Linked DNA regions of Oreochromis niloticus. The protein of the gene in region 3 purifies or fractionates together with the protein of the main gene of each other region. This does not show direct contact. Links are inferred from orthologs where the notes say so. Each region holds a gene or a part of one and is shown on either strand. Other genes may lie near its edges.

Region 1 (3,754 bases), on a different chromosome or scaffold from region 3:
TAAACTGCTTCGTGATAGCTTCGCTACAAAGTGTAAACCGAGTGTAAATTCACCGGAGAGCGACGTGTTTCCATGATCGCGTCTGGTTTTACAGTATTATAGTATCAAAGTATTTTTCTAGACAAAGTATTCCCAGCAGGTTATTTCAGTGTACAGTTTAATGTAAATTGTCTTCCACACGGCACATTACAATGTCACGAAACTAATATTAAATTAATCGAGCCTGCCGTTTTCCAGCTTTTACTCTTTATTGCGTCGACTGCAGATCAGTGACAAGTAGCGTACAGAACGGAGCTGGGCAAGTGGCTCCTCCTACTTTGCGCGCTCTCGTGGATGGGGAAACAATTTTTGACGGGGGTAACTACTTTGGCACAACACCTGTAAGTTCTAAATATGTTCATATCACTCTTTATAGCCTATTAGTTTTATTTTCGATGCGCTCTGAGGTCATAGCAAATTAGAACAAACATCCTACTGAGTGATTCTGCAGAACTACCTTCTCTTTATAGAGTTTCTAATTATTTGGCATTATTGCAGCAAACCAGCCTATGAAATGGATGAAACACATCGTGACTGGGTTCCAGTGCTACATAAGGGACCTGCTTCAAACATACCACCATGCCAATCAGATTACTTCTTCCATGTGAGGGTGAAGAGGTGACCCTTCTGGATAAGATGGTGAAGGTTTGCTGCGTTTGTTGAACAGTGTTATAGTAAAACCAGGGAAAATGAAACTTGCTCCTGTTAAATATTCTTAAGTCTTTTGCTGTATAAATAGTGGTATTTTTTTTTTCAAAAGATACAGTAAATAATGTTAGTAGTGGGTGATATCATGTAAACACTGTCATGATTTTGTGTAAACATTTTGTCTTTTATAAACTATAAATGACATGGATTCTACATTGTAACTGATGTGATGTTCTATAAAGTGGTTTTAATAATAAAAAAAGAGGCAAAACTTAGTTTGTTTCTTTATTCAACTTTTGAACAGTGGTACTCAGTCAGTACATATTCAGTAAATGCAAATAATTTACATGGCAGTGCACTACAGGCATAAATTTAGACCCCTAGATAAAACATTATGGCATTATAGCAGTGACAACTCCTCCACAGTAGCAGGTGGGATTTTTCTTTTTTGAGGACGGCTCCTTTTACCTTTCATTACGGATGGTCTGTTTATGTTTTGATCAAGAGCCTTTTTTTGGGCAGCTGAAGAGGAGAAGTCTCTTATGGCCAACCTCTGGCTGTATCTTGGTCATATTACCAGGCAAAACCCAGTATGCAGGTTCATCTGTAACAGTCCTTGTGCCACAGATCCGCACTGTTGCTTCTACATTAAACAGAAGAGCAGCGACATGGGTGCAGGTCTCCACGACTCCGGCCACACGGGTGCAGTGGGCGGCTTCAACCTTCCCTGTGATGCTCACAGTGACCCATGGCTGCAATGCTGGTTCATTCAGTCTTTGAGAGTGCAGCACCTGAAACACACACAGACAAAGTTAATTTAAAGACAAGAACTATGAGCCAAGGCCGACATAAATGTGTTTTATCTACTTTATCATAAATGTAACAGTGTTTAGAAAGTTAGCACATACATGTCATTTTTCATTTCTTTATGTGTCCATCTATAGAACGCTGCATTTTATAGGGTAAATCTGCCTGTTCTCTGTCAGAAACCTGCCTGCAGAAAATGAACCTAAAGCATGTAATGCAAGGATGTCATCACTTTAGAGATGGAGAAAGCATAAAGTGACAATTATGAATCACTTAATATGATAAGGAGATTCTGCAGGTCATTAATCAATGTATAAAACTAAAGATGTATTTTTAGTGACACAAGATACAAATATTGAAGCAAGATGTATAATTAGAATTATTTATAATAAATATGAATAAATCATTGCAGTTTCTTTAACCATAGAGAATAACTAAATCCTTCAGGACAATGTCACATCAATGCACTGAACTCACTATGTTATTCACCTAACAGCCTCCACATGTTCTCACTGTAATTTCACCCTCATGAATGAATTTATGCTGCACTAATCTGAATGTTTGCAGGGAAATCAAACGCATTTCACTCGCAGTACTCGAGCTGACTTACCTTTGTTTGAATGACGAGTTGTAGCGCTGACTCCACAGATAAGGTACGAAAATATGTCAGGCTACGTCAGTAGCGGTTGGTCTTCAGGGTTTCTACTCCACCGCTGTGTTTCATACCGGTCCACATTTCCAATGCACGCGATTTTCTGCAAGTACCGCCGCTTCGCCTCTGGACGCAATCGGTCTCTATACAGTCCATTCTCTTTTGAGCTGCTTTTAAGCATCTTGTAATCGTAGTTCGTTTTGATTCGTAGACCCCGAAAATGGTGCCGCGCTCCCACAATGCATTGCGGCGTGACGTCAACTCCAAAGCCCCTTCTGTAAATGTGACCGCTGCTAACTGATGTCGCTTTAGTTTATTTACTGTTGAACTACGTGTGTTTTCCTGTTTTACCGCTGCCATTGTTTTTAGAACTTAAACGTGTCATCCTTACCTGTGTATATCGAGTCGATATTGTTTCTCTCTTAAACCGCTTTAGCGGTCAATGTCCTGACCGTTCAATTAGAAGCTTTCTTTTATTTTCAAACTTTAAGTGTCTAGACTTCCTGTTCTTCCACTTGACGCAGCCCCCTCCAGCGTCAGCTCCATTCTCAGGACAGGGGGCGGAGATAAGTGACGAAACGGTTGTCCGGAAACAGCCAATCAATGAGCAAAGAATGTGTCCGACCCGGAGCTCTCCTTTACTGTAAACGCCTGTCCGGGATATCTATATACGATTGTTTAGAGTCTTTAAAAGACAGACTCTCTGCACGTTTCTGCAAAAACCTTCTAAGCATTTAGTGAAAGTGAAGTGAAAGTAAAACAAAAAAACTGTGAAACTGAAAACAATAAGAACCAAACCCGGCAAACCTGTTATGAACACCAAATTAAACTAAAATCAAATTTAAAACGAAACCAAAGGTAAAAACCTTTGAAAAATGAAAATAAGACAGTAACTCAACTCAGGTTACCCAAATAACAAGCCGTGGGTGACTAAGGACATCAAAGCCCTCCTCAACAACAAGAAGAGGGCTTTCAGAGGGGGCAATAAAGAGGAGGTGAGGAAGGTCCAGGTGTTACTAAAGGACAAGATCAGAGAGGCTAAGGACAATTACAGGAGGAAGCTGGAGTGGAAACTCCAGCAGAACAGCATGAGAGAGGTGTGGAGGGGCATGAAGACTGTTGTGAAGGAAGGAAGGCTCAGGGTTTAAATAATCAGCATCATGGGCTCATCCGATCAGAATGAGAATAAGCAGTCATCTAATCATTCACAGGGTTCTCCTTTTATTCTCAATTCAATAAAGCAAAGAAGGAAAGACACACATGGACTGCCAATGCTCTGCTGCCGCCCCGTGTGGGAGTGAAGAAAGAGTGAGCCAAAGGTGAATGCAGTCCTTATATACTGTGTGACAGGTGAGTGCAATTAAGGACAAGCACCACACCCAATTAAAGGTGAGAGAACTAAACAAGGTGCACCTGGTGAAGTGAGTGGGTGTGCGGGGATATGCTAAAAGGTGAGTCTTTTCAACAAAGACCATCACTGGATTCAGGCCAACCAACAGCAGGGGAGCTGAGGGAGGTGAGGATAGAGCTAACGAGTTGAATCTGTTTTTCAATAGATTCGACACCACAGTGTCTGCTCACACCCCTACAACCTCACCTGTAGTCAGC
Region 2 (3,754 bases), on a different chromosome or scaffold from region 3:
GCCTTGTTTCCCTCTCTCAGACTAATGGCTCCTAAATGTGAAAAAGACCAAATTAAATGGTCATCCTCAGAAGGAAGAGGACGGCTACACAGTCCGTGTCTATCCTGGGACAAGGACTACAAGTACTTGGGCGTCCACATCCACTACAGGGTGAAGTGCATGACCAGCACAAAGCATGAAAACAAGAACGGAATGAGAAGGCTCTATTTGCTAAGGAAGCTGATATCCTTCAACATGGGCAGCAATATGATGGAGATTATCTGTCAGTCAGTTGTGGTAAGCTTACTGTACTTTTTCTTTGCTGTGGTCTGCTGGGGCAGCAGCATCAGAGCTGGTAAAAGTAACACACTGAATAAACTTACTAGGAAGGCTGGCTCTGTGATTTTAGAACTTAAAGAACCTAAATAAACAAGTGAACAAAAAAATAAAATAAACAAACAACAAAATATCTAACATCTAAAAATGTATTATAGAAAAGTTACAAATGAACTTTGGATGAAGTGTAGTACAAATAATAATAAGTTAAAATAAAAAAGTTTTTGTTTTTTTGTTTTTTTTAAAAAGAGTGCTCACTGTGAAAGACTGTAGCAGTCACTGACCTCACAACTGCTATATCTAAATCAGAAACAAATTTGAAAACAATATTGTAAAAGTAGAAAACTTAAAGATTTTCATCTTGTCCCCTGCAGCTTCTCTCTCATCCACCATCCATGCTGACCCTCCTCAGTCTACAGCTCATTCCCCCTCAGCTCATCTAATTCTTCTGCTCTGCACTGATTTCACTCTTTATCGCTCCCACTAGTTCTCTACACTCTGGACTCCCTGCTCAGTTCAGTTACACTTCCCCAGTTGCTCTGGACAGCCAGCAACCCACCTGGGACTCCACGTATACCTAATCCATTCTGTCACGGCTCAATATTCCATCTACAGCCGATTCAGCCAGCACCAATTATTCATCCTTTATCTAACTACAGTCCACTAGTCCCATGATGCATTGAGTTTTTCCTTTCCAGTCACCTTTCTCACTCAGTATGTGTTAATAGACCTCTCTGCATTGAATCATATCTGTTATTAATCTCTGTCTCTCTTCCACAGCATGTCTTTATCCTGTTTTCCTTCTCTCACCCCAACCGGTCGCAGCAGATGGCCCCACCCCTCCCTGAGCCTGATTCTGCCGGAGGTTTCTTCCTGTTAAAAGGGAGTTTTTCCTTCCCACTGTCGCCAAAGTGCTTGCTCAGACTGGGTCATATGATTGTTGGGTTTTTCTCTGTACCTATGAAGCGCCTTGAGGCAACTTTTGTTGTGATTTGGCGCTATATAAATAAAACTGAATTGAATTGAATTGAATAGTTGTTACATGAATTGCTCAGTGGCCTTAAGGTAAAATACTAATAGTAAAAGGGTTAATGTTAATGGGTGCAGTAAGCCAGGTTAACAGTTATGATAACTGTTTAATACTGACTTCTGAACATCAACCTGAAGTATTGGTTTAGTGTGATGAAGGTTAACTACTGCAGCCACTAGTGAGGAGGAGCAGCGGGTTTGTGTCAGCTGGAGGAGGCAAAGATGGCACAGTTTGTGGATACTGTTGCAAATCAGTATCTAAATTCAATATAAAATTTAGTATTCATATCTGAATACTCTTCTCTTTTGAGAACTTGATACAGGGTATAATACTATAATACTACAACCTGTAACAAAATAACTTCCCAAACATGTGACATATAAAGTATAAGCCTCGAACCACAAAGTGCTGGTAAATCAACACTAAGCAAGTTTCTTTTAAATGAATCAGGCTCCGTGTAATATCTGGGTAATAACTGCTTCTTATTGCTGATACCTGCTATTAGGAAAACATGAGCCTGATGTCAAGTCGTTTCTGCCAGTGTGGAAAGAGTACACAGAGAGCAACGGGCTAAAACGACTGATGACGACTTCCCGCACAGCTTTGGAAAACTACACTGATCATTTTTAGCACTCATGTAGCACCTCCGCTACATGAGTGCAGGTTTATGAGAATACTGACAAAGATGGCACTGCAGATCTATGAAAGCTTCATTACATTTGAAAAGAATATCACGAGTCGATCTTCAACTCATCCACGCAGAGTCAAAACCAGCTAAACATGCTGGTTCCGCTCTGTCACCGCCCCTGCGACCTTTCACACAGTGCTGAAGATAATATTGCAGCAGTGCCATCAATCTCTTAATGCTGCTTTTAATATAAACACAAATAAAAGAAAAATACTCGGCACGTTGCGCCAAGCTCTTTTAACACTGAGGCTTTCATCATCTTTGTGCAAGCTAATCTACATGTCATCAAGTACTCCGGCTGGACAAGCTCTGCTTAAGCTTCTGTTTCTCAGATGTCCCTCCATCTTTGTTCTTGACCATGACACAGAGTCCTGGTAACAGTTTGGAGTAGCAGCTCAAGGATAAATTACGAACTAGTTGACCTGTCAACCAACTTCGATCAGGAGCTAAGGCTAGCTTCACTAACAGCTTGCTAAGTCAGAGCCGTGGGTGTGCCTTACCGTGGATGGAGTCGTTCTTCACAAACAGTCCTCTTGCATTGTGCCCCCGAGGCTTCTGAATGCTCTACAAGTCACCGAGCTACCCACGAGCCCACACACCTGTACCTTATACTGATAACTCAAGTTAGCTGCTGCTGCAGCGGGCGTCTCTGCGTGTTCCAAGGACCTTAAAGTACCGAGTTTGACTTTGACCGCGTTGGTTTCTAGTAAACCCCAAAGACGTCAAACAGTATACTTTAAAGGTTGTTCTTTATATATTTTCTCAGCGCACACTTCGTTTCAGCATTGTGTCGACTACTCCGTTTACTATCTGCGCGACCCGCTCTCCTCTTTAGTGTCAATGGCAAACAGCTCTAAGGTGGAATACCGCCACCTGCTGGATTGGAGAATAGCTGTTGTGCCTCTGGTGGCAAGGTATGGAAGTAGCAGGGGCGTGGCTTTTAGCTGATGCTTACTGCTATGTGAGCCGCTACCCATGAACAAAAATACTTGTGCTTACAGTATTTTATGCTCTTTTCATAAAGTCTGTAAGTTTGAATGAGTCCCATATTTTAAACAAAGAAATAACATCAACCAGAGACAGTCTAGAGAAACCCATAGTTACTGTCATTATCAGAATGATCTGAAAATAGCTTGTATTTTGGCATTTTTAGCATTAGACCGGTTTTACAACAGCTTCACACACAGTGTATTTTATCAGTATTTAACAAACCAGCTTGCAAATGTTGTGCTTTAATTTAACAATCAACAAGACCCATTTCCACATTACTGCGAACAGCTACATTCACCTACAACAAATGCCAGATGTGTTGTTCACTGAGATAGACGTGTCAGAATCATCACCATGGAGATCTGACAGGATGTATGATCATGAAGTACCAGCAGATCCTTCATGGAAATCTTCTTTAGAACTCCAACATAGGCCTGCCCTAAGTAATGGAAAAATCTCAGCACTATAAGAACAATGTAGAGCAACCTTTGTTTTGTGAAATGTTAGAAGCCCTGAACGCCGTCCTCAGATAAAGCAAAGAGGCTCTTGATTGTTTTTTACAAAAGTTACATACACTCATATAGAAAATTTAAAATATGTACAGTATAGTGCAAAAGTCTAGAGCTACCTCATTTCTTTATACACTGCTAAAAATAAATAAATAAAAGAAACACATTTTATGTAGCATCACACAGGAGAAACTCCCTTATAACAGGAAGAAAGCTCAAGCA
Region 3 (3,754 bases):
TATTGCCAATATAAACAGAGGTAAGATGATAACTTGCATGACTTGGCCTTTTTCACAGACAATTTATAACCCCAACAAAACACTCCTCCAAATCTCTGACTTGGATTACTTTGTATTTCAAAACATATCACAAAGTAAGTGCTGTTGTTGACCGATCTTTCTGGGCAGGTGAGATCATACCCACTCAGTACCCACTCAGGTTTGTTCAGCTGATTAAATTGACGCTTTTTACTAGAATTGTTGAATTGAGTGCAGTACGAATAAAGGCCACCAAGTCAGTAAACTGTATTCTGTAAACTAAAACTGAGTTTTCCCTATTGTACATATGCAGGGGCTTTTAACTACAAACTTGGTGATGTAAGAAATCACTGCAAATGAGAAAGTTTATCTGGCAGCAGGAGCCAAACCTACATGACATCACATCAACCCACGGCAACAAACACAATGCTCCAAACACCTGCAAAACTTATACTTCTTTTGTGTCTCATTAAATGTCTCTTACAGTATATAAACCTGTTAGGTGAGTTAAGCTTTAGCCTCATTACTTAAACTACAATATGGTAGGTATTTGCAAAGCAAAAGTATAACTGCTTTGACAGGGAAATTGTTTAACTTCTGTTTTAAGAATCGCATCCTGAATTACACTTTGCCACGTAAAGTTATCGTTTCTCTTCATCCTATATAAGCAATGACTAAAAGCAACTCGAAATGCTGAAAGTGAGATTTAAAAAAACAAAGTCAAACACAAGCTAAGTAATTCTTTTCTGAAAAGGAATTGAACTTGTCGCTGCAGGAGTTCAGATCACAAATATTGAAAATGCCTTCAAGGTGTGGATCTGAAGGCAAACTATAGGGAAGCTGTGTCTATACTAGAGAATAAAAGTACCTTTGATCAAGTGTAGACCTCATACAGCTTCAAGTGAACTAAAATCTTTCTATTATGTGGCTTTACACTCCATAACGCCACTGAGGTTCGGCCTGTTGATAAACTTCTACTCCCTGTCATGATGAAAGTGAAAGGAGACCCTTTTTGACCAGAATGCTGCTTGACAGAAACCATGGCTGAGCTGCTTCTTTCTGTTGTGAAATATCCCAGCTATGACATGGTGATAAAGCATTGATGAAAATATGTTTAAGCAGACTTGCTTTGTTGCTGGCTACAGAAACAGCTCCTCATCTGCTTCCAATTACGTTTGCGTCTGTTGACACTTGCTGATTGTACAACAAAATTATTCCCCATGATGTAAGCGTTTTGTATTCTCTTCTTATATATGAGTGTATACAGTATATGAACTTGTGGAGTTCTGATCTTGCGCCTCAGTTACATTCACGTGTTCTTCTTTTGTTCTACTTGACCGCAAACATTTCTCGACAGGCATTTTGGAGCACCCTGAATCTGATTTTCGCTTTTGTACAAGTACGCAAAAACAAACTTTGTTCAGACATCTTACTAAAGAATCGAAAAGATTCTCTTAGAAATTAATGAACGTTTCAGCTGCCACAGAAATTAAATCAGGTCTGATGTAACACAGATAAGCAGGTTTGTTCTCAACTATGAACGTGACATTTTCAGGTATTTTACTGGACGCGGGGTCCTGCCTAAGGGTCAATAGTTAACAAGCCAAATATTTGGACATTTCTCCATGGCCTTATGAATTGTATCCAGTTTGAAAACACAAAATAACTGGCCATAGAATTACTTAACACAATATCCACTAATTCGTTGGCAGGAGCTAGGAGTCCAGGACTTCCTTTGTAAACTAAAAATTCCCTGGCGAGGGAAACTTAATGATAATCAGAGCTGAGTTGAAAGTTCGTATCCTGTTAAAAAAAAATTATAGTGTCTCACTTAAAGCCCAAATTGGGGGACGGTATTCTGACAATACCGTCCCCCAATTTCTCTTGACGACTATTTTGTTTTTAAGTTTAGCTATGTGGCTGCCATTAGCATGCTAGCCCCAAACTTGAACTCACCTGTCCAAATTCTGCTGCATGCCAACTGCGTTCTGTTCCGCCATTGTTGTAGAGGCCAAAAAGGTTCAGCTGTCTTCTTGGCGGAAATTAATTGCGTTACAGGTAAAACATTCGAAATTTAGTTCTCGTTAATTTGTTGCAGCTAAAGTCGACGAAGAAAAAAACACAAAAAACACCTGCTAGCAAGTTAGCTGTTGAACTAATGCTAACAAGCTACATAGGCCTTCGCCCAGATGCGGTGCAACACCCGCAAACAAACCGGTATTTTTTTTTAATCAAAAAACTATTCCTCCTCCTCCAACGCAGTCTACGTAACACTTATATGCGTTCGATGGGCTATTTCGGGCAAAATTCTTCTTTATATCTGCCACGGCCTCGTATGGCGTGACTGTTTGACTCCATTGACAGGCTGTCTCTGAGGTAACGCAAAGACACCACGTCTGTGCGCATCTACGTAATCAAAACAAAGCAAGCACCGCAAAGGCGAGCATGGGAAATGTAGTTTCACAATATCGCTCTCTCTCGCTCTCTCTCTCTCTCTCTCTCTCTCCCTCTCTTTCTTTCTTTATCTCTTCGCTGAATGCCCAAATAAAAGCTCTGAATCATCTCCAGAGTTGCCAAGAAAGACTATTAGAGGTGTATAGCCATTATTAGTACGCACTGCGAATGTAGTTATTCCCGTTCGTACATGCGTGTACGCGAGTGCGAACCACGACAAATGCAATAATGTGACAAATACAGTCCAATAATCTCAGAGAGGAAACCTTATCCATAATGTGACTGCGTGAGAAGCGATTATACATATTTAAAAGACAATCTCTGAACGTGAGAACATATTTTTTAAACATAATGTTTTTCTATCCTTTGTGCTCGTTTGTTTTCCTATAATGTGCCTGTTTAAAAAAGCATAGTTACATTAAATTCAATGGGACTGACAGACAGAAAGACAGACACCTTTGCTGACCGGCCACTTTATCGTTTGAAACTACAACTCCCAGCAGTCTACGCGCCAGCGTCCATGCGCCGCAGTCAATCAGCTGTTCAAGCAACTGCTGACTACCTCGGCACAAGGGTAGCTCGTTTGTCATATCTAAACCCAGACGAGGCAAACAAGAAATATCTTTATTTACAGAGTCCCCAAAAGGTGAACGATAAAGGTAAATTCAAACTTCATGTTAGGCAAAGAGAAAACCAGGCTGTGTGTGCATGCTGTTTTGTCGTTTTTGTGGAGGGAGGGGGGAGCATGTGGATTATACAGAGGGATTTCAAGACAAGACAGCTTGATGAAATGTATATCGGGTGCCTCGATCAGCGCGATAAACAGGCAGCTGAAGGGTCAGGTTTTGCCTTGTGTGTGTGGTAAAGAGCCGGTGAGGTGAGCCACCGTACAGGCTGCTGATTGTGCTTCTTTGATGACCTTGGAATCGGGAGATCCTGGAGGAGAAAACACGGATTAACTGGTGGGGTGTGTGCGAGTGTATGTGTAACGAAGGCTGTTGCGATTAAACATGAAATTCTTACTTGTGTTGCTGTCATTATAGCACTGAAATGATCTGTTATGTCAGTCTAGAGACTACTATTGAAAGGCCTGTGTGTAGGTTGTATGTTAGCTCTCTGGAGACAGTTACCGATCAACAGACCAGAGGAGTCTGACAATGATTTGACACCAAAGTGTCATATCTCATAGTTGTGCCTTTTGCTCCAGCTGGCAGAATATATACTCAGCTGCTTAATTTCCTTTCCCTGATCAGAGTATCCGCTGTGTTTGACATTTCTGCTT

What was found. The genes of interacting proteins can lie anywhere in the genome.
Region 1: the proteins of marchf5 (region 3) and mfn1b purify together in Homo sapiens (affinity purification with western blotting; 4 studies listed by BioGRID, with this or other methods). This does not show direct contact. The link is inferred for Oreochromis niloticus from reciprocal best matches to the Homo sapiens genes MARCHF5 and MFN1.
Region 2: the proteins of marchf5 (region 3) and mfn2 purify together in Homo sapiens (affinity purification with mass spectrometry; 5 studies listed by BioGRID and IntAct, counting the BioPlex papers as one, with this or other methods). This does not show direct contact. The link is inferred for Oreochromis niloticus from reciprocal best matches to the Homo sapiens genes MARCHF5 and MFN2.

What each region holds. Positions count from the first base shown.
Region 1 is NC_031986.2:45,570,720-45,574,473, forward strand, and holds the start of mfn1b (mitofusin-1b), read right to left. Parts: upstream 2,682-3,754; 5' UTR 2,538-2,681; intron 1-2,537. UniProt on the Homo sapiens protein: Mitochondrial outer membrane GTPase that mediates mitochondrial clustering and fusion. Membrane clustering requires GTPase activity. It may involve a major rearrangement of the coiled coil domains.
Region 2 is NC_031984.2:35,410,776-35,414,529, forward strand, and holds the start of mfn2 (mitofusin-2), read right to left. Parts: upstream 2,898-3,754; 5' UTR 2,534-2,897; intron 1-2,533. UniProt on the Homo sapiens protein: Mitochondrial outer membrane GTPase that mediates mitochondrial clustering and fusion. Mitochondria are highly dynamic organelles, and their morphology is determined by the equilibrium between mitochondrial fusion and fission events.
Region 3 is NC_031978.2:26,274,821-26,278,574, forward strand, and holds the start of marchf5 (E3 ubiquitin-protein ligase MARCHF5), read right to left. Parts: upstream 2,418-3,754; 5' UTR 2,019-2,417; coding exon 1,975-2,018; intron 1-1,974. UniProt on the Homo sapiens protein: Mitochondrial E3 ubiquitin-protein ligase that plays a crucial role in the control of mitochondrial morphology by acting as a positive regulator of mitochondrial fission and as an important regulator of immune response.